Linked DNA regions of Arabidopsis thaliana. The protein of the gene in region 3 purifies or fractionates together with the protein of the main gene of each other region. This does not show direct contact. Each region holds a gene or a part of one and is shown on either strand. Other genes may lie near its edges.

Region 1 (7,842 bases), on a different chromosome or scaffold from region 3:
AATGTGAACTCTGTAAAACTCAAAACGTAAACATATTCTTGGCTAGTTGGTTTCATTTTTTTTGTTTGGTATGAAATCCCAACATACACAGTATAAAGTCGTAGCATTATGTTATCTCCAAATCCAATACTTATTATCTCCATATGTAAAATCTAACCTTCGCACCATAGGTACATATATAATAACATAACATGGTTACTCGCAATTTATGTCACGAACAGAAAAAACCTTGCAAAACATAGTTACTTGCAATTTATATAATGAGCAAAAATCATCACAAAAAGACAAAATGCAGGACATTATGTATTATTATTATTTTGATAAAAGGCTTATGATATTATGTTGACAATGAGTATCATTCAACAAAAAAAAAAAAGAAGAAGACAAAAATAAAACATTGAATCAGTGATTGATGTGCAATATCATTCTTGAGCTGTCTAAACCTTCACTGCGTCATCATTTTGGCATTGATTTGTGTATCATTTTTGCAAATACTTGTGAGGACGATCTTCCTCTCCTCTGTATTAATATAGTTTCGAAAATAAAAATAAAATACAACAATGAAGCATGTGGGGATATGTTGAAGGAAGCGGAGAATCAACAAAGAGAGATCAAATGAGCACATGCTCTTGAGTTATCGTTTCAGAAGAAAAGTCCAAATGAACGACCAACAGATCTACACATCATGTGATTCTGTTCTTACGATTGTGATTTTTTTGCCGGTTCACCTCAATTAACTAGTCATTTTTGCAGATTTCGAAAGTGAGATAGATATATACTTTGATTTGACATACTTACAATCTGATACATACATGTTCAATGAACCATTTTGTTTTTATTAATCTGACCTTTTTATCGTATATCAACTTTCATTTTGAAAAATTAGCTATTTGATATTGACCTAATCTTTTGATTGATTACTGTGGCTTTTTCCCTCTTGTTTTATGACGATGCAATTTAAATTCACCAATCTAGATACTCCATAGCATATGTGATATATACTCTGAAAAGGTGTTGCTAGCTAAATGAGATGAATCGCTCATTCATATGTGGTTTTGATTTTTGTGTTTCTCATGACACTTCTTGTTTTCGTTAGCCTCGCTAAGGCGTCACATTTCATGAAACCTTAATAAAAAAGCACTATTTGGTTAGTTTGTTTTAATACATGATCAGATTCTCAGTTTGTATTTCTGACCAACAACAAAAAGAAAGAAAGATTCTCAGTTTGCTGTTAAACTATTTTTAAAAAAGTGGGATTTGAGACAATCCCACAATCCTAAAGCTGATGTATTGCAATAATAAATTTAAATTATCTCCGTCAGCAAGATATGGTTTGCCTACCCAACAATGAAGAATAGTATAATCATATTCTATAATAAGAAATTGACATAAACAGCCCCCTCGGATTATGCTAATTAGTCCACTTAATTACTTTTATTTAGGTGTATCTTAAGGACATTTTCTTGTCTATAGTAAGTAAGATAAAGAAGCAAACAATATGATTAAAAATTATGACGTCGTCGAGCCATAAATAAAACAAAATATGTACTATTAAATAAGCACTGCTTAATCTGGCACCAATCACATATTCACGGCGTACCACCACTTGAGTTTGCAACTCGTCGTCATCCAGTCATCTCCTTGTTGTCCTAAACTTGTGTGTTCTTGTCTTTTTATTCCACTCGACCAAAAGGGCGTGGACACACTCGCCTGATACTTGTCACACGTCCTTCATACGGGCTCTCTGCTAATAAAACAAGATGGTTTTTTTTGTTGTTGATATTTTGTTGTTTCCGTTTTAAACCAAATCTTACTTTCACATTGTTTTCACTTTTGTCTTACGATCTCATTCCAATTTCTTACCAAACATGGTTTAAAAATTTAATTAAATATCAAAACATCTTTGTTAAAAAAAAAACCCCCAAATTGGTACTCTTTTCCAAACTATTACATGTATAAGCGTTGGGTTTAGAAAACAGTACCAATCAAACTTAAACTGGGAATCTATAACTGGAAACCTATCACATATTCAAACTAAAAATGGGAATCTATAACCACAACAATTAATACTCAATGATTAATTATTAAATAAGTTTAGAGGAAAATGATTAATATAAATAAAATAAGTTACCCTAAAAAGTATTTAATTTGAAAAAAACTTTTGTAAAGAGTTTTATTATTTGTAGAACAGAGAAAAAGCCGCTCTCTCTCCCTCTCCTTTCCACTCTCATCTCCCTCTCTCTATATCCTCCTCCTATCAGAAGAGCTCTCTCTTCTCTCCGCACCGATTCTGATCCGAAGATTTTCAGGTAACAATATCAATGTCTACAACACCAACGATTCTCACTTTCTTCTTTCTTCAATCCTTTTTCATTTGTTTTCTCTTTTGCCAATCAATGATTTAAGATTGAATGAAATTCTCACGCAGCGATGCAATCTTATTTCTCTCAAAATTCTGTTTCTGTTTCGAAATTCCGACAATCTTACCAATGTTCTTTTGTTTGTCTGTTTTCTTGATGTGATCTGGGGACTCAATCATTGAAGCTTAGAATTTTTTTACATTTCTCCATAATCCTGTTCTTGAGACAGAACAAGAGACTGTTTGACTTTACAGGTTAGATCTCGTCACCAGTTATCTTTATTCGGATTTGATTGTTCCGACAATCTTACCATTTATTTTCTTTTACACGAATTCAAATCAGATTTCATAAAGTGAAAAAATGAATCACGTACCGTCTGATCAAAGCTTTTACATTGAGAGCGAGGACGAAGACGATAGGAAAGATTACGTAGAAGAAGATGGTGGAAGCCATTCTGATTCCTCTGATGATGTTTATGATGAAAACCAAGCTCACATTAAGCCTAGCTCATACACCACTGCTTGGCCTCAGAGTTACAGGTTTGGCTTCTCTCCGTTTCCACTCTTTATTGTGGTAGTTAAGTGAATATGTTTCATTTCCGCTAATATTACTCCATTTCTTGATTTGATTTGCTACGTTTTAAGAGTTGGTTTTGTGTGTTCTTGATAATGTTTGTAGGCAGTCGATTGATCTTTATAGTAGTGTACCGTCTCCCGGTATCGGTTTTCTTGGGAATAATTCGATGACGAGATTCGGAAGCTCTTTCTTGTCTTCTGGTTTGATAAGAAGACATACTCCGGAATCATTACCTACTGTTACAAAACCTTTGTTAGAAGAACAAGCAGATGAACAAGCACTACCAAAACATAGACTTAGCTCTCAGGGCTTACTCTCTCCTATTCCTTCGAGGAGGGGTTCGATGCGAAAGGATGAGAAATCATCCATGGTGTCTCATGAGATTCCAATGTCTCGTAATAGCTCATACGGACAAGCTGTACTAAATGGTCAGTTCATCTTAATGCTTGAGTTAAAATATCGTGTCTTCTCTTCGTTAAAAGTGGTTAAATAGTTTTAAGAGATTCTCTGATGCTTGGCTTGATGAGAGTAGTAACGATGGTAGAGCTAATTGCTGCTTTCCTAGAACTATAGAGCTGCAATATTGATTGCAATTGTGTTCATTCACCGTTAAATACTAATGAAAATATGTCAACATTTTCTCTGTTGTTTGATTTTCATTATAGGAATCTAGATTGTGTGTGTAAGAGGGTCTAAGACCGTCTTCTTCGGGGTTTAAAGATGTATGTCTCTTTATAAATTAAGTGAATCGTACAAAACAACAATCAACTCTATTGTCCTATAGCACATGGAGCACATGTTGGACCAAACACGTCTAGGTTCAAAGAACATGATTGAGATCTTTTGCTCTTAGTAAATTTATGATCATCTTGTATAACATGTGGGTCATGTGCAGGATTGAACGTTCTTTGTGGGGTTGGAATACTTTCAACGCCTTATGCTGCCAAAGAAGGAGGATGGTTAGGACTTATGATACTATTTGTATATGGTCTTCTTTCTTTCTACACCGGAATCCTCCTTCGTTATTGCCTCGACAGTGAGTCTGACCTCGAAACCTATCCCGACATTGGCCAAGCTGCGTTTGGTACTACTGGACGTATCTTTGTCTCGGTAAGATGATAAATTTCCTTAAAATCTTCCTCTATAGTGAAGGTGATATAAAGTTAAGGACCAAATAGAGAAAAAGAAAACTGAATGAACTATATACAAGATCCCACACAAAAAGAGAATTGCCTTTTGGCCTAGGATCAAATAGAACAACTCAAAAGCAAAGGGCAAAAAGCTACCACTTTTGTTTCAAGTATGAAGCTTTATTCTTATGAAAAATTACTATCACGCATGTGTTGGTGCAATTAGATTGCTATAAGAAGTCAAATGAGTAGAAGAAACCTATTGAATTAATAATACATCTCATCAAATAGAGCAAGAAACTACGAATATTAGCTTCTTTAATAGTGGAATTTGATATCAATTTTTATTAATTTATTCCTTTTATTGTTTGTATTGCAGATTGTACTCTACTTGGAGCTATACGTAAGTACTTCTTGGATTCGTCCATCACTTGACTTTAATTCATATTTTATAAAAATTGGAATCCCATGACTCTTTTTGTCAAGAAAAGTACATAACTACAGAGATTCCAAGTTGTGTTTTAAAAAAAACAAACAAGAAAAGAGATCTCAAGTATGTGACCCCATGTTGTGAAACACGTTAGCAAAGGGTCCCATAGATTCTGCCACTAGTTCTAGATTTGGCACTACCTGAAGCTGCTTTAAACTTTTCTCTTTGTTTCATTTTGTTCCTTCATAAAGCTTATATACTTTTGACGTCACTAAAGTAGCAAAGATATATTTTAGATGGAAATGATCCCTAAAAAGCTTCTTAAAAGCTACTAGTGTGAAATGATTAGTTGAATAGTGACTATATAGTAGATACTAGATGATACATCTGCAGACTTGACATGAGTCTATTCATATTTTCAGGCATGCTGTGTGGAATATATAATATTGGAGAGTGATAATTTGTCTTCATTATATCCAAATGCTGCCTTAAGTATTGGAGGATTTCAGTTAGATGCACGCCATCTATTTGCATTGCTAACCACTCTCGCCGTTCTCCCCACCGTTTGGCTCAGAGATCTCAGCGTACTTAGTTATATCTCTGCTGGAGGGGTGATTGCATCAGTGCTAGTGGTTTTATGTTTGTTTTGGATTGGTTTGGTAGATGAAGTTGGAATTCACAGCAAAGGAACTACACTAAACTTGTCAACATTACCTGTGGCTATAGGACTCTATGGTTACTGCTACTCAGGACATGCTGTTTTCCCCAATATTTATACTTCTATGGCCAAACCATCTCAATACCCTGCTGTTCTCTTGACATGGTAAGCTTATGTCGCTTTAAACAAGTTCTTATCTTCTACAACGCTTCGACTTTCGCTTATGCAAACTTCAAGAAAATATTCAACCATTTTGATAGCAGAAAGATTGATAATTTTGTGCAGTTTTGGTATTTGTACTCTGATGTATGCCGGCGTCGCTGTTATGGGTTATACGATGTTTGGAGAATCAACACAGTCACAGTTTACTCTCAACTTGCCTCAAGATTTAATTGCAACTAAGATTGCTGTGTGGACTACGGTAAGTGGACCAAATATGTTTTCTTTCCACTACGTATTGGTTCTTGCATGTTGGTTGGAAGTAAAACCGTTTTGTTTTAACCGTTTCACAGGTGGTCAATCCATTTACCAAATATGCTTTGACCATATCTCCAGTAGCAATGAGTCTTGAGGAGTTGATACCATCAAGGCATATCAGGTCACATTGGTACGCCATCGGCATTAGAACCCTATTGGTCTTCTCTACTCTGCTTGTTGGTCTCGCTATTCCCTTCTTTGGTAAGTTCCTCTTTACTATTTTGATGCAAAGCTCCTTTTCTTGAAAATCATACTTTTGCTAGTTGTGAGAACACTCAAAAATCTTGCAGGTCTTGTCATGTCATTGATTGGATCGTTGTTGACTATGCTCGTCGTAAGCTGTCTTTTCCTTCTATTTTTGGTATATCTACTACAAATGAGGATCTTAAGTTTGGATATATAAGTTCATCTTTTGTTTTGTGCAGACTCTAATACTTCCTCCAGCTTGTTTCTTGAGCATTGTAAGGAGAAAAGTTACCCCGACCCAGGTTAGCCTCTCACAAAAACATTGTTTCTATGTGTTATAAGACGATTCATTAACAAAGTTTTGGTTGGTTTTTGTAGATGATGTTGTGTGTCTTAATCATCATAGTAGGAGCAATATCTTCAGTCATTGGCTCATATTCAGCTCTTTCCAAGATCGTTGAGAAATTGACCAACTGAAAATATTTCTCTGTTTTTTTCTTACAAACTCTTATACCCATTTTGTCTTTCAGGGGAATACTTTTTTTCTTTTTTTCTTTTTCTGTTTTGTCTTTTGTTTTCGTATAGCAAAATTCATTCTTGCATTCAAAGCTTTTGTAATATCTGAGTGATGATCTGCATCTTAAAACTGGTTTGAAAGTTGATTAATAAAGATTGGTACAACATTTTGCCTTAGCCTTCAAAATCCAAATCCAAATCTTTATCTACAACCCCTTCGTCCCTAAACCCGAAACTATTCCTTCGACTCTTCAGAATCAACTCTGAATTCTTCATCAACTGGATGTATTTCTTCCTTACCCCCAACACAGGATGTGTTTCAACACTAGCTTTATCTCTATAAGGCTCTCTAAGAATAGCTGTACAAGTTTTATTCTTCATAGACAAGTAGAAAATCTGCGGATGTCTCTCAAACGCCTTATGAACCTTTTGCGGCAATCCAAAATGCTTCTTGAGACATAACAACTTCTTCCTCTCAGCAGAATGCTCAACGAAAAGACAAAGCAATTCATGAAGAAAACCAACAACTCTCTTCTCTGCTATATCACTACTTGGATCCAAACATGAATAATCATCATATGGTGATACATAAGGAAGCTTTTGAAACTCCATTAACCAATCTTCAATCTTGACTCTCAATCTACAACCTTTTGATGGAAACAGAGGAAACTCAATCTCTTCTAAACTCACTTCTCCTCTTCTCTTCTTCATTGCATTCTTCTGCAACACAGACAAAACCTTATCTCCTCCATTATAATCTACTGCTAAACCTTTAACTCCATCTTCCATATCCACAAACCTAAACGAAGAATCTAAATTCATATCTGGAAACTGCAAGTAATCATCAGGTAAACCTAAATACCATTTCATTCCTTGAACTATACTTAGTGGCAAAACATTATCTTTACTCATCAGAATCAATTTCTTCAACCTATCACGCAAATCATCTGCAGAAGTTTGGTATACGACTCTCTCTTGCCTATCTAGTTCTGTTGCTTCTGGTGTCAATCTAAACCATGGGAGATTATACTCTGGACCAACGAACTCTTCAAAGATTGAAGGAAACTTCCTTAAGAAGTGAGCGATTTTGGTTGATACATCGAATTGACGAGTCTTCTTGGAGATGGCAGAGATCGGAATGCAGCGATTAGGTTCCTGGACGATACAGTTCTTAAGAGAGACGACGGATTTGAGCTGAGATGATCGGAGGATGTGTTCGATGTTGTCGAAATAAGGATCTCTCTTCCATTTCATGTAAACGTCGACGTAGGTTCGTTTCTGAGTAAGGTTGGTGCAGGAGGAAGCTACGGTTTTGGCATGGCGGCGAATAGAGAGCATTGTGGAACTAATCGGAAAACCCTAAAACCCCAATTAACGGGAACATAGAAATCGGACTATCGGAGAAGACAGTTGCAATGTTTACTTTAAGATGTAAACGACACGGCGTTTATTGTGGGCAAAACTGCGGGCCGTTTTATTTATAGAAACGACAAGTGATTATAATGGCAA
Region 2 (7,136 bases), on a different chromosome or scaffold from region 3:
TAGACGGTACTAAAACGTATCAAAAGACCACAGTAAGTCAATTAAGAAACTACTAAAGAATAACTACAAACAAAAGATGACTTGCCTCTGAACCTTTACCAATCAAGATATTCCCAGGATGTGGATCCGCATGAAAGAAACCACTCTTCAGTATCATTTGGCCATATGCTTGGGACAAACTGTGTAGTATATTGCTAGAAAACAAAATACATTTTCCAATGCAGCATTAGACAAGATCCAAATGCTTTAAAAGCCGCCAATGCCATTGGAAAAAGTCAAAAACCTATCTGAGATAATGGAGGAGCTTACAATTTTGCTGCCTCTGCCATTTTACCATGAGGATTTATCCCTCTTTTTGCCATCTCATCACCAAGGCTCAAGATCGGGATTCCGTTCATGAATTCCATAACCAGAACCTTCCTGTGCGTATTATGATTATTCCTCTGATCAGCACTCATTAGTGAATATAACCGAAAATTAAAGAACTTTCGAATGGAAAGAGACTATGTCGAAAAGACAGGAACCATAATTCTTGATCAGTGAAACAGGACAACCTAAAAAGCCTTAAAACATTATTGGGATAACCAGAATGCTAATATAAGAATAAGTACCTGGTCACCAAATTTGGAAACACCCTGGGAACCAGAACAGGACTCTTTCTATTGTTATCATATAGAAAACGTCGGATCTTCTCCATTGCATTGGCCTCCCTTTTAAAGTCGAATTCATACCCAATCTAGTAAATGAAAACAAGGACTGATAGTGACTTGGCGGCTATAAAGTTCTTACCAGATACCCTCAAAATATAGAAAGAATGATATATACCTGCTTCTCTATTTCCTTTGTCATGGAGAACAAGTCAAATTTGATATCAGTTTTCTGCATGTATAATGCAAATATTTGCAAGTTTCTGATATCAACCATCATCAACTTCTCAACGCCAGGATGTTGGACCTAAACATGTCGTAGCACATTCAGAAACCAATTAAAAGTAGACTAGGAAGATTTCAGTTTTCTCCTCATTATTCCTCACCTTTACAACAACATCCCTCTTGTCACCCTTTACTCTTGCTCGGTGTACCTAGATAGAAGCAAAAAGAAAGTGAAATACAGTATATATTGAGACTTTCTTAACCAAACTATAATCTTATCTGATTTTATAAGCATGCACGGTAATACTGTACAAAGGTTCTGAAACTATGAGTGATGAAGAATGTAGTACCTGAGCAATAGAAGCAGAGCCAAGAGGCTTCTCATCAAATGTTTCAAACACTTGTTCGATGCTTTTACCTAACTCTTTCTCCAGGACAACTCGAACGGCATCAAATGGTGTGGCAGGAGCTTGATCACACAAAGTGACGAGTTTTCTCACCCAAGCAGCTGGAGCCAAGTCAGGTTTCCCTAGAATTTGTGCAATCTATTGAACAAAATGAAAAAAAGTAAAAAAAAAAAAAAAAAACTCATCATAAGCAACTGTGAACAATCAAAGAGTAAAATGTACAACCTTTATTCTCATCAAAGAAACAAAAAAAAAACTCATACTTTTTGTTACAACAAGATTTAAGATGAGTAATTCATAACAATCCCAAACGTGGAAGTCCCCTCTGGTAATCACAAACCTCAACAACAGTCTCAACACACCATTACCTTAAGGAAGAAACCACCAAGGTCAGAGCACATAGAATAAACTTTATGAGCAGCAAGTTCATGTTGTCTCTCCCACATCTCCTCGTGCTTATTAACATCCTTGACGAAGTTCATACGAAGTTGAAATACCTAAAAGCCCAGAACAAGACACAGATTGAAAGAAAATTGCAGAAAATCATAAGAAAAATGTATTACAAAACGAAACATGAAGAAGAAGAAAGGAGTACCCATCAATCAAAGAGAAACCTTGTATCCGGTGTAGATATCAGTGGCACGAGCCCAGAACTGAAACGATCGTTGCCAAGGCCGGAATCCATCAGAGAGCTTCTCCTGAATCTCTTTGAAATCGATCGCATGCATTTTCGAAGTTTTGAGGAAGAGTGATAAGGATGAGAGGATAAAGTTAAGAATTGTTTATGTATGGCGTCAGAGTGGAGTTTGCTGCTCTCTACGAATCCATTCGAGAGTGTTAATTACTGTTTCGTTAAATTGTAAAGGAAACAAAATCCGTTTGTCTTATGTCACACTCACTGTGAGTCACTGGTTATAATTAGGCAGGCAATAGAAGATAAGGTACTAATCTCCTCAAATCTTAAAGTAGTTTACAATGATGGTCTTGTTACTAACCCCAGACCATATCAAAAAATTTAGGAAAAAAGGAACTTACTAAACAGTAAGAAACAAATTGTAAATCCTATAAGTGTGATGGTGAAGAATCTCACCTAATTCACTAAACAGACGTCCGTGGAAGAAGAATCTGCAAAATACCAAGTTACCAACTACTGTGTATGTATCTCTCACAAGTTCAACCAAGGACTGTCCTTTAGATGTATCTAATTTGTGTTCAATTCTAACCATTCAGATTATGAAGTGTACTAATGCATTTTTCTTGGTATATCTATATGGTCAACTAATACACCTTGTGAAACAAAAGCTTTATTTTGTAAGAGGTATGGTGGTCGTTTTCTCTTAGATACTAGATAGATGCGATGAAAACAACAGATTCAAAAGCCATATGCGAGGAAGAATAAAATGAACATTGGAGATTAAACTTGCTCTTTGTTCTTGGGAAATTCACCACTGACAAACCAACTAGAGTTGATGAAAGAAACTACAGCCATTCATCTCAAAATCCAAAGTTCATATCGTTTCTCAGACCTTAAGATTCTACCGTTCGGAGTTTCCAAGTTGCAAAGCTTGACGAAAGAGTGAAACAGAAACATGTAGCATGCTCACAGATCGATCACACGAGACAGCTTCTGGATTCGGTTTAGCAAGAAATCCCCTTGCTTGATTGTTGCCTGGTAAAGTGCATTCTTTGCATCAGGACGGTTTGTCTCCAAAACACCTGCAACCTTGTCTATCTTACAGTGAAGCTTCCCAGCAGCAATGAAGCGCGACAACTCCCTGGATAAAAAAAAAAATACATTTCAAGTCAGATTTAAGTTTGTATTATCGTTTTTTTGTATGCTTCTAAAGAGAGGTGGCAAACATAAATATACAAAAGAGCGTTCATTATTGTGCTTACTGGTCTATGAAATCGACAGAAACGCCAAAGGCCTTTGCCATTGCTTCAACTGTCACACTTTTGTAAGATTCCAAAAACTGAGAGTACACCACTGTTCTGACTTCCCTCATGTAGAACCGGAAATGCGGGTACAAGTAACGGTCATACTTTATCTGCACCGCCATTCCAGCTGAGAACATAAGCCGACAATGAAGTTAGTAAACATACAGACAAAAGCCAAGCAACATGCATTCGGATGTATGACCTCTGGTCCTTGTAATGAACTTACCAAATGCTGAGAAAAACGCCTTGTACTGGCACTCATACAAGGAGTTCAGAAACTCAGAAAGGAATGGAATCTTCCCAAGCACGGTTAAGATCTCAGGTGCATCAACGACCTGTCAAATTAGTAGCACTTGATAAGAATTTCAACAAATTACATGGATATACATCATTTTAATAAGTCGACATACTAAAAAGTTTTTATCTAAGTTTAGACAACTCTAAGTGGAAGACTGAGCCATTGAGAAATACCTTTTGCTTAAGGGAAACTCTGTCCAAAGTTATGATGCTTGTCAGGACGGTGTAGAATATGAAGGTCTCATATGGAAAAATTTCATATGTTGTGAAGGTTGATATAGAATCCAGGAATAAGCTGGCAGCCTTCTTAAAATTTCTGGTGGACATGCAGTACAAACCTTCATAGACCTTTAGCCGGTTCTTCCTCTCCCAGTCACCACCCTCTTCAAACAATCTGGCAAGGGAAAACGGAAAGTGTTAATTCAAGGATTTCAGTTGCACTATCCATGAAGAGTAGTCAAAATACAGCCAAATTGACATTTACTTTTTTGCTTTGTCAATGCTCTTTGATACCAGATCAAAGTCCATATAGAAAAAAGCAAGTTGTAACGTATAAAACACCACGTCCATTTTTTGTCCAACAGCAACAGTTTTCCCTTCAGTGAGTTTTAGCTGCTCCAAAGCTTTCTCCTAGGATTACAAAACAAAAATTTAATGGCCACGATCCACGGAAGTTACCATAACTATCAACTTTGATATGCCACATACCTTATCACTAATCCTGATGAAATACAGAGCCTTAGCAAGATGAGCTTCACGAACTTCACTTTCACCCAAATTTTCTTCTGCATCTGCAATCCTGAAAAAAGTGAAAGAAAAGAATATGTAAGAGAACTTTGGCTGATAACATACTGGTTCAGAAGTTTCTACAAAGTTAAAGCGGAGGCCAAGATGGACTCAGAAACCAATGGTTAGGTAATGGTTATCTCCCTAAGAATACTAAGACATCATGCTACATCAGCTACCACAGGAACATGGAGATTCCCAAAATTCATAGTGGACTTTTGCAAACACAATTCTGAATCCAATTTGAGACCCAGAATGCTACAGTCCCCCTACATCAATCTAACCCAAAATACTAATACGAGAATTCGAATTTCAAAGCACTGCCAAATAAAAGTGAGAAACTGAAGGAAACTTACTTCTCGTCGAGCTTCTTAAGCTCCTCTTCATTAGCGGCCCGCATAGACTCTAACAAGCTTTGATCCAAATCCAGCACCGAAGAGGCAATTAGGGTTTCGTACAAAGGAGCCATACCTAAAATAAATAAAAACACCAACGAAACATCAGGAACATAAAATCTCGAAGAAATATTAAGCTAATTCTCACTGATTAGAGAAAAGGAGCTGCTTAACCATGGGATCTGATGAAATCCAAAACCTCAGACTTGAGCTGGACTTTCTCGATGTCTGGAACATCTGGATGAGTGAGGAGGAAGAGCTTGTTGGCTAGAATAAGGTGAGGCTGCTGAGATCCTTCCGCTCCACCGTCCATCGCAAATCGGAAAGCTTGAATCGGATCTGAGAGAGAGAGAGCAAATATATAAAAAGAGGTTTGCTTGAGCAAGGAGGAAGAGCTTACAAAGATTTCAGGTCCGATGGTTTTTTTTTTTTGTGTATGTAAAAAAAAAATAAGTTTCGCATTACCTTAAACACCCTTATCTTTTTTTACATTTAAATTTGGAATTTTTACCATAAGAAAAAAAAGTAAAAAACATTTACATTTAAATTCTCGTTATAAATAATTTAAACTTAAGATCGTTGAATTCAAGTAATGGATATTTATATTTTATATCTCTTTCCAATGGAAATCATAAAAGAAAGAGGCACTCATTATTAAATTTCTCAAGTTTTTCCAAAGTGAAGAAAGATGATAGAATTATTTCGAAAGAAGCTGAAGCTATGACGACGCATCACAATAAGGGATGTGTTCTAATGTCAGGCTCTCAATTCCAAGTAAGACATGAATGAAAACCATTTCTAGCTAATTTTCTTAAGCATAGCTCTAATTTTCATTGGAAGCCCGTAAAGACGAATAAACCCGGCTGCATCCGCTTGGTTGTAGATCTCACTCCCTTCAAACGAAGATATGTCCTGTCTATACAGACTGTTAGGACTCTGACGCCCTGTAACCGACACAGATCCTTTGTACAGCTTCAGTGTCACAGATCCCGTGGTTGTCTCGGTTATCTTCTCCATGAAAGCGTCCATGGACTCCCTAAGCGGATCAAACCATCTTCCTGCGTAGACCATCTCTGCATATTTCAGTGCTAATGTGTCTTTTACCTGAATACTCTCTCTGTCTAGAGTGAGGGATTCTAGTTCCTGTACAGCTGCAAAGAGGATAGTGCCTCCAGGAGTTTCATACACACCTCGTGATTTCATCCCAACCAGACGGTTCTCAACCATGTCAATCCGCCCAATCCCGTGCTTTCCTCCTATTGTGTTTAGCTCGGCCAGAAGTGTGGCTGGACTCAGAGCCTTCCCGTTCAGCGCCACTGGAAGTCCAGATTCTATCCCGATCTCGATGTATCTGTATAAGTGTGTAAGTATCAAAAGTTAGGATGCAAATTGCAAAATCCTACTCTTGGTATCTAAATTTGATAGCATAGCAGCTAAACCAGTTAACTCCTTTGAGAGACTTTAATAACGAGAACTCTCTATTCTAGATCTGATTCCCAATCCCAAACCATAAACAAATCCTGAACACACCAACTCATTCTGCCTAAACCTCAGCTCTGTAGCTAACTGACTCAACTTTAGTTTTCAAACTATCAACACAGCTATAATCCACTACAAACCACCTTGGGGTAATTACAGTGCATAGTTAAACACAAGGGCTCAAAGAAATTCCAACTTACTCAGGCTGATCAGGAGCATCTTCAGGATCCACACTCATCATGTACATATCTTTCTTTGGCTCGTTTGCTGGATCTTCCAATAGATCACCCTTTCAACAAAACACATAAGTTTGATATCAGAGCATGAGACACATTATTAGGAACTGAGCAATGTGACAAACTGGATCAATTTGTATCCAAAAGAAAAATGCGAACCAACACTTGTCTTTTACTTTACCTCATGACTAAGGTGCCACAGGTTTCTGTCCCGGCTGTAAATGGACTTCTTTGTCACTGGGACGGGAACATTATGCTTCTTTGCATACTCAATAGCATCTTCTCGGCCTTGGATTTCCCATTCTCTCCATGGTGCCACAACTTTAAGTTCAGGGTTTAATGAAAAGAAGGTGAGCTCAAACCGAACCTGGTCAATCAATCAGTACAAAAAAGTAATGTAAGAATCAATGCGTGTTTTCCAATGTGACGCATTAGCAAGACATTCCAAGTACTTGCCTGGTCATTTCCTTTTCCAGTACACCCATGTGCAACGGCATCAGCTCCAACCTCTGCTGCTACATCAACCATGGCCTAATCATTTAGAAAATGTATTAGTGACAATATGTAATCCAAAAGATATATCCAGATATTAGAAATAGTGGGGGTAGTCCTCACAAGTCAATCATATAAAACCATTCGAAATGTTACCTTAGCAATGACAGGTCGAGCCATGGAGGTACCAAGCAAGTATTTTCGTTCATAGATGGCACCAGCTCTAAGACAAGG
Region 3 (7,798 bases):
TTAGACGAAACCCACTTTAAACATGAGAATTCTTTGTTTTGCGATCAACCAGAATACAGTAATTAGATACCATATAAAAAAAAGACGTTATTTGGCCAAAAATTCCAACAAGACGAAAAGTACCTTTTGAGAACAGAGTGTTGGAGTCGGTGCAAGTTGATTTGATCTCTTGACGATAGCCTTTGCTTTTGCTTCTGATCTTCATCCCCAAAAAAAAACAAAAATCGATCGTTTGTTTTGTTTTATGAATTAAACACAGTAAAATTGATGAAAGAGTAGAGTAAAATTCACGGTTGATCAGTGATCTGGGTAGAAGAAAGAGACGAGAGAAATAGAAAAAACGAAGAACGGTTTTACGATGAGAGAAAGAGAGGAAAGTGCTATCGAATGGATCTCTGACTCTGGATTTGTATTTATAAACAGTATTTCTGAACTTCTAATGGAAACCTACAAAAAGAATGAAAGCTTTATTACGGAGGAACGGAAAAAGGAAACTTGGCCGAGAGAGACGAAAATACCTAAATACCCCCCTTGGGAAAAAGGAAAATTTGGCTCAAGAGAGGAAATTCCCTAAATAGTCTTCGGGAAAAAGGAAATCTGGTTTCTCGCACGTTGAAAAATTAGCCTGCGTAATAACGGCTAGTGGGTGAGCTGGAACTCCAACTGTTGGGCTTTGCAAGTGCCCAATGGGCTTCGACAGTTTTTGAGGCGGTTATTGGAGACAGGTGATTGGGTCGTCGCACTAACTCTGCCAATTTCAATTCCACTTCTACTGCTTGGTTAAATTTATTTAATCATTCTTTAAGATTTTTTTTTTTTAGTGGTATGTTTGATAGATTTAACAAGGAGCCGACGAAGTATTTCTTGATCTAAAATGATGTAATGAGTGAATATGATAATCTAGTTATCTTAACATTAAGCATAAATTTTGCTAATTTCAATAGATTTAAAACCAAAACGAAACTTTTACGAGCCTTAAATTTCAATTCGATTCTTGAAAATCATCAAGAAAAAGAACAAAATACCTACAGTGAAAATTTTTGCTACAACAATTTTTGATTGACCTAAACCAAAAAATAACAAACAAACTGATTTACTAATAAGCCATGTCTTGCACACCAGTCTCAGCCATCTTCTCCAAATCTTCTTGTGTCAACAGAGTTTTCCTTCCCATTGTACCCGCCTTATCATACGGTTGAGCCATTTTCCGAAGAAACTGCAAAAAAAACAAAAACCAGGAAAATTGTTGATTCTTTATGCCTTGTTGTTTGTTTCACTGTGAGTTATAAAAAAGCAGCGAGTTATAGGTTTACCTCTCGAGCAATGTGAATAGCCATATCAGTGCTTAGATTCAAGTGTGCATCACGCAGATGCGAAAGTATCCAACCAGGTAGTTTGGACCGCTTATCATGACGGCTGTATCTGCAAGTTTTACCATCAATTGCAGTGTATTGTTAGACCATAGAAATGTGACATTATAAACCAACATAAGCATATATCTGTGTCTCTCTTCTGTCCTACGAATATTTTCCCATTCCTAAGGAACAGTGTGAACTCTGTTACAATCTTCTATTCTCGAGGTGATCTCAGATACTTGCGCATATACTTATTATCATACTAGATAGATTATAGAGAGAATCCCATTTAGTAAAATAGCAAGAATCTAAATGACCAGACTCAGAGAGAGAAAACTTAAGGCGGGCATGTACCTTTTGTCTGCAAATATCATCATCCCATAATCAGCCTTTGACCGGATTACTCGCCCTACACATTGAGCTGCTTGCCTCTGTGTTAAAGCCAAAAAGAGTTAACAACAGTCACAAACAGGTAAAAGAGTTGCACACCAAAATCTAATAAGATCATAAAATAAGAATCATACCAAGGCATCAAAAGTTAGGAAATCGCCTTCTTTTATTTGAAATGTATCGTGCAAATACTCCAATCTTGCTCGTAATATCCTGAAATTTTTCCCGTTTCCATCTTATCATCTCCCAAGTACGATGAAATATAAAAGCAGAAAACCGGAAATTGAAATGATAAACATTCATTTGAGTACAACTTACTTGCTTAATGTATACTGGAATGGTACTCCGTACATTACAACCAGTCTTCCATAATGACGATCAAAATCGATACCTTCAGCAACTTTCCCCCTGCAGTTCAAATACAAAATTTGATCACTTTCTTTGAAATTTCTCAAAAGTGAAACCTCTTTAATATTTGTTAACCAACCAAGAATAGGAGAGAAGAGACAATTCCAGTATTATAATACAGAAACAAAGAAGCAGAACCAAAGACGCATTGCAATGAATTCCCAAACCATCTACCATTCAAAAATAAAAATTTTACCTGGCCACAGAGAAGAAAACTGCACCTCTTCCGCAATCGCAAGCCCTGCGATAATTATCCAGTGCCAATGTTGTTTCTACAACATCTTGTGTTTCAATGAAAACAAGCTTCTGTTGCATTATTTCCTACAAACATTAAGAGAATTGGTAATATCAGTAAACAAATATACATTAATGCCTGAAGCAACTAAAAATATTTTGAGGTATCATAAAAATTCCAATTCATGCAAAACTCTGAAAAAATTACTGGCATGGTAAAGCGATGAAGAAGACCTTACCTTCAGAATTCCAGTTTCATTCCATGTAGCAATAATGCCATCCATATATGAGTAACTAACAAAGAAGCAGACAACTCCATCAGGAACAATAGATACCATCTCTACCAAAAGCTTTCCGTAATTCCTCACAACACCAGGATCACTTCTCATGTCAAATTTGGTGCTAACAGGAAGCTGATCACTGAAAAAGAAAACAACCAATAATGTCAAGACATATAAAATTAAAAAATAAGTTAAGTGTTCAGGATTCTTTTTATATACCACATACCTTCCCCGAGTTAGAACCATAGGGCAGATGCAGTCTCGTGTCATTGACATCTTAAAGCTTCGACTAACAACAGGAGTGAAATTAAGAAGACGGGGGTAAAGATCAATTGGGCTCAATGTGCCTGATGTAATCACGACTGACTGGAAACGATCAAACACCGGTTTGATCGCCAGAGACGCATCATGACAGCTCAACTAAGATACAAAAGGATATATGTTTCAGATACAATTCTCAATTATTCAAACGGTAGCATTTACGTGTGAGTCATAATCCCTTAAAATCCCAGTGACAATACTCAAAAGAAAGTAGGTCAACACCATATTTACCTGCAATATAGGATCTGGAATATGGGGCATTCTCTCGTCATAAGGCTCGATGATGATGGAAAATCCCCGGGCATATGTCCCAACAAGAGTTGCAAAGTCGCACACTGTCTGGATAGGCAAAAACTCATCTGTATCTGTAATTTCAAGGGTTAGCATGAGAGACTGGAGCCGGTCATAACAGAACTTCAGTGTTTTCTGCTCAATTCCAGCCTGAGAATTCAGTGACGATACAAAGCTAACAGGGCTTTCTTTCTCTACATTCTCAGTGTCCAGCCGTACCCCCAAGTACTGAAGTAATCGGCGTAAAACATGCACAAAATGCTCAGCCCGTCTAATATTCCCCGGGACAGCCTCCTTTAGAATATCATGAGGCAGTGCAGGGTTTGCAAGCCATTGATCACCTCCTGCAAAAAAAAAATTGTTGCGTCAAGTTCATAGAATTAGAAAATTTACTGTGTGCTTTCAATCAAATCACAGATCACCTTCCTGAACACATACTTACCAGATAAGTCCCCTCTCAGTGCTAAACCCTCAACCAGCCGGTTGTATTCAGCTCGCAATCTTCCTGCATCAGTAGCCTTGAACCTTCCTACCAGTTGGACAATTTCAATAATGTAATAAGAACTTAAAAATAAGCATCAGCAAATAACCAGGTCACTTCCTGTATTGAACCAAGAAAATTATGCTTCATGTGTTTAAGATGATGACAAAAGCGTTTGTAAATTTTTGTTCCCCTTACAGTTCTTTGACAAAAAGCAGTCTCATAAAACCAGATTATTTTCTTACTAACTTAAACTTCCTTAAGAAAACCAACAATTAGCAACTGGAGTGAGCAGACACCCAGATGGCATTCAAGAACAATCAGGAAATTCAATTGAAAAAGAAAAGACCCTATCACTGTGTTTATTGTTGTATTAAGAGTGGCACGTTCAAGAGAACTTAAGGAGTATCAGCTATATAGGAAAAAATTAGCGTACCTATCAATTTCTTGCCTTATCTTATTAAGATTTCGATTAGCTCCTTCAAGTGTAACCCTCCTCACACTGACGCTGAGTGCTTCAATACACACGTTATCGATATTATGGGCCTCGTCAAACACTACAACTGACTCTTTTTGTAACTCCTTTGATATGAACCCAGCAACCTTAGGATCCAGTAGGTATTGGTAGCTGTAAACAATAACGTTGGCGAACTGAATCATATGCCTCGCGAGAAAGTAAGGGCACCATCCACGATTCTTACCAAACGCCCTTAGATCCTAAAAATCGAAACACACATATACCATCAGGCAAAATGTGCAAGTAACCTCGAAATAAGCATTCCAACTAAAACATAAACTTGATCAAACAACAAATGTGAAAAACCTTAACTTTTTTAATCTTACCTCTAAAGTATAAACACCAGGAGGCAACAACGCATTCTCAGCAGCCTTTTCATAGTTCTCAAAGAAGTCACAGAGTTCTACATTTGGATTCTCCGTGGACAAAGCCCTAACCCAGCTAGCAGTTCGTTTCCTACAGGCCGCATCAACAGAATCACGATTCTCGGCTGCTAAAACCTTAGTATTAACGCAAAGATTCTTCCGAGAGGAAAGACCAAGGGCGAGGATCTTAGCCTGGGTGCCGAGATGGCGTACTTGGTAGTCATGTAGTAGCTTAAGCTCACCTAACGTTTTCTCCATCTCGTGGACAGTACGAGTACAGTAAACAAGCTTGATCGGAGAATCAGGACGAGAGAGTCGATAGCTGGTGATTAGAGAGAGAAGAGCAATGGTTTTACCAGTTCCGGTAGGCATCTCGAGAAGACAATGTCCCTTAGCGTCTAGGGCTCGCTTCAATTCAACCATGTATTCATATTGTTCTGGATATATGTTGTCATAAGGGAAGTAGACAGTTACGTCTTCGATTTTAAAGATCATCTTCTTCCTCCTACCTAGAAATCGAAATTGGCATTAGAACTAACAAAACCCTAAAAAACTCGAATTCACTTTAGCAAAACAAGCGATTCAAGTTGGAGTAGATAAACCCGAACAACGAGAAAGAAGGAACAATTGAGATCAAGCGAAGAGAAGATAACAGGAGAAAACTTACAGGTGATAATGGAAGCTTCGATGTGTTATCAACGACTGAGAGAGGAACCGGTAGCAGCTTCAAGGTAGAAGAAGAAGAAGAAGAAGAAGAAGAAGAAAATTTTGCGTCTGTGTTTGCCGAAGTAACCAGAGCAAACAGAAGAGGAGGACTCTTATTAGAAAAACTTAAAGCTTTGTTTCTTTTTCATTCTGACCCCCTATTTATTTATTTTAATGCGTTTGACCCCCTAACTTTATGTATATTAAACTTCTCGACAAAATTAGGTTTTTAAATGTTAACAATTCGTCCAAAAATATAAAATAGTTGAACAATCCTGATTTTGTTAAAACAACAGAGTATTAGAGTATGCAGTAGTAGTAGTACAATGTCATCTCAAGATTTGGAATTGTTTCAACAATGCTGGTTTTTTTCTAAAATTTGCAACAGGGTTTAGTTACAACAATAGAGAGATACAAACAAACTCTAAAGTCTTATTCTTCAACTGGTTGATGGAAAGCTAATCCCTTTATCACATGTCGACATTGATACCTGCAATGACACAGTAAGGCATGGTCAAGAACTTGTTTAGTGTGTAACTGGAGAATTGTGAATAAGAGAAGTACCATATTAGATCATTTGTGGGAGGAGAATTTGTTGCATTGTCTTGCGTTCTGCACTTGAATCTCAACTTTGAAGGCACAAACTGCAATAATAAAAGATGTTTGCAGGTGACGGAAAATCGGAATGTTGTACATGGATGTGTGAAATAGAATTAGCAGAGAAGTGTATACCTTTCTGTTGTATCTGAAGTCACGTTTAGGAAGGAAATGTTGTGGAAGATTCAAAGTAGGTGGAGCATGAACCAATATGAAGAGCCTCATTGGACCTGCAACTCAGAAGAAGGGAAAAAAATCATTACACCATAATTCACAACAATGCTAAAGAAGTTTGCAATTTATGCAAAAGTTACCTGGGTAGGAAGTTGATCCAGCACCCGTCGAGATCAGTGCTCGGATAGTCTGTAAAGCCAAGAGTGAAGGGCTCAACCATTTTTGACTTATCACAGCAGATAAAATTGAAAAGAGACAAATCACAAGCAACATGAAAACAGAGGTAAGAAAAAGAATAAACCTTTTTTGAAAGTGCTTCTGCAGCTTTGGATTTAGCAAAGTCACCTTCGTAGCCTAGAACATGGTCTCTGCGTTGTGTGAATAACAACTCATAAGCATTTTGAGGCCGTAATGGACTACCACCAAGAATCAACACAACTTTCTGAATGCCAGGAGCTTCACGGATCATTAACTGCAGCGCACTTCGGAGACTAGAGATGGTTTTCATCAGTTTCTCCAGTTTCTTAATCTCATTCTTCACCTCTCTCTTTCTACTCATCAGTTTTCTTCTAACCAGTGGTTTCACTTGAGGTTCTGCAAGATTCGTCTCCTACAACCTAAGATTCTTAGAGTGTGAAAAAGACCTTAGACCTTAAAGTGAAAATGGCGTCTGTAGGACTAACATACCAAATCCATAAATTCAGTTTGCAATCCTTCAAATTCAAGGCTCATGTCTTGTAATACCCTGCACAGATGTAAATAACCAACAACAGTCATATTGGTAGAAGGAGCTTTGTGTAGCCAAAACCAAAGCTGCAAATTGAAGTTTCTGGTTTTCAGTAAAACACTCATAGTGGATACAACAGACTTAATTCTAAAACCAAAAGGAAGTAGTGTGCACAATTGCGTAGAGCTTTTCAATTTCTCCTAGAATTGAACATAACTCACCTACCAGGAATTAATCACTAATCCATCCAGAATCCATAAATTCATAACCACGAAACTATTTTTCTTCTGATAAATTCGTAACCAACAGACTAATCGGAGAAATTAACGGAGAGATTGAAGAACAAACAAATAGATACATCATCACCAGATCGAAGGATACATCGAAGCATAGAGATACGAAGATAGGAAGAGATAACATACGAAGGGATCTGCTGGTGCATATAGAGGACGAATCCGACTATGTCATTGATGATATGGAAGACGCCGGAGCCGCCTAATGAAGAAGCGGTGGTCGCGATGTCTACGTCGTAGTTCTCCTCTGTAGTTCCTTCCCCTTCCGCCATTTCCATCGTGAATCGAAAATTGGAAACCTTGTGACTGTATGTATGTGTTGCTGAAGAAATTTGAAAAAAAGTCAGTAGGCGGGTGAGAGAAGACGAAGAAGAGAAAAACAGATCCTTCCAGAGAAGAAAATCACCCAACAAAAGTGGAAACTAGAAACGATGCAAATGACAAATTAACCCGATAGAAACTGAGAATAACAAATCAACCCCTATACTTTATTAATTTCAAAAGCTAAGCTTTGATTTATTACCAAAGTACCCTGAAGTTGGACCAATAAGCGGTGGCGAGTGGTTGGGCCGTATAGAGGGGACTAAAATGCCTTCCTTCACGTTATTTGAGAATCATAATTGGATCCAGCTTCGGCCCAATTTTCTACTTTATAACAT

The links.
Region 1: the proteins of UVH6 (region 3) and AT2G39130 purify together in Arabidopsis thaliana (affinity purification with mass spectrometry, with the first as the bait; one large-scale study listed by BioGRID). This does not show direct contact.
Region 2: the proteins of UVH6 (region 3) and AT4G24820 purify together in Arabidopsis thaliana (affinity purification with mass spectrometry, with the first as the bait; one large-scale study listed by BioGRID). This does not show direct contact.

What each region holds. Positions count from the first base shown.
Region 1 is NC_003071.7:16,321,623-16,329,464, reverse strand, and holds AT2G39130 (Transmembrane amino acid transporter family protein), read left to right. Parts: upstream 1-2,158; 5' UTR 2,159-2,309; exon of another isoform or gene 2,310-2,544; 5' UTR 2,545-2,614; intron 2,615-2,702; 5' UTR 2,703-2,720; coding exon 2,721-2,899; intron 2,900-3,038; coding exon 3,039-3,364; intron 3,365-3,831; coding exon 3,832-4,046; intron 4,047-4,445; coding exon 4,446-4,469; intron 4,470-4,918; coding exon 4,919-5,319; intron 5,320-5,439; coding exon 5,440-5,575; intron 5,576-5,666; coding exon 5,667-5,832; coding exon of another isoform or gene 5,833-5,876; intron 5,877-5,921; coding exon 5,922-5,965; intron 5,966-6,056; coding exon 6,057-6,119; intron 6,120-6,195; coding exon 6,196-6,294; 3' UTR 6,295-6,507; downstream 6,508-7,842. Other genes in the region: WTF9 (Ubiquitin carboxyl-terminal hydrolase family protein), read right to left, coding at 6,508-7,671.
Region 2 is NC_003075.7:12,787,592-12,794,727, forward strand, and holds AT4G24820 (26S proteasome regulatory subunit Rpn7), read right to left. Parts: upstream 5,132-7,136; 5' UTR 5,009-5,131; coding exon 4,870-5,008; intron 4,772-4,869; coding exon 4,657-4,771; intron 4,314-4,656; coding exon 4,223-4,313; intron 4,145-4,222; coding exon 3,999-4,144; intron 3,909-3,998; coding exon 3,689-3,908; intron 3,553-3,688; coding exon 3,444-3,552; intron 3,345-3,443; coding exon 3,176-3,344; intron 3,055-3,175; coding exon 2,880-3,054; 3' UTR 2,726-2,879; exon of another isoform or gene 2,478-2,725; intron 2,201-2,477; exon of another isoform or gene 2,008-2,200; coding exon of another isoform or gene 1,894-2,007; exon of another isoform or gene 1,777-1,893; coding exon of another isoform or gene 1,648-1,776; exon of another isoform or gene 1,460-1,647; 3' UTR 1,439-1,459; downstream 1-1,438. Other genes in the region: AT4G24810 (Protein kinase superfamily protein), read right to left, coding at 86-194, 310-420, 612-736, 826-954, 1,034-1,081, 1,223-1,417, 1,648-1,776, 1,894-2,007; AT4G24830 (arginosuccinate synthase family), read right to left, coding at 5,494-6,046, 6,375-6,463, 6,592-6,777, 6,867-6,941, 7,059-7,136. UniProt on the Arabidopsis thaliana protein: Acts as a regulatory subunit of the 26S proteasome which is involved in the ATP-dependent degradation of ubiquitinated proteins.
Region 3 is NC_003070.9:773,162-780,959, reverse strand, and holds UVH6 (RAD3-like DNA-binding helicase protein), read right to left. Parts: upstream 5,434-7,798; 5' UTR 5,311-5,433; exon of another isoform or gene 5,153-5,310; 5' UTR 5,139-5,152; coding exon 4,605-5,138; intron 4,479-4,604; coding exon 4,198-4,478; intron 3,806-4,197; coding exon 3,723-3,805; intron 3,625-3,722; coding exon 3,221-3,624; intron 3,089-3,220; coding exon 2,895-3,088; intron 2,808-2,894; coding exon 2,627-2,807; intron 2,475-2,626; coding exon 2,350-2,474; intron 2,154-2,349; coding exon 2,064-2,153; intron 1,959-2,063; coding exon 1,880-1,958; intron 1,787-1,879; coding exon 1,710-1,786; intron 1,423-1,709; coding exon 1,314-1,422; intron 1,217-1,313; coding exon 1,097-1,216; 3' UTR 916-1,096; downstream 1-915. Other genes in the region: AT1G03200 (uncharacterized protein), read right to left, coding at 124-205; AT1G03180 (non-structural protein), read right to left, coding at 5,781-5,838, 5,913-5,992, 6,081-6,175, 6,260-6,308, 6,421-6,729, 6,807-6,864, 7,269-7,417. UniProt on the Arabidopsis thaliana protein: ATP-dependent 5'-3' DNA helicase, component of the general transcription and DNA repair factor IIH (TFIIH) core complex, which is involved in general and transcription-coupled nucleotide excision repair (NER) of damaged DNA and, when complexed to CDK-activating kinase (CAK), involved in transcription by RNA polymerase II.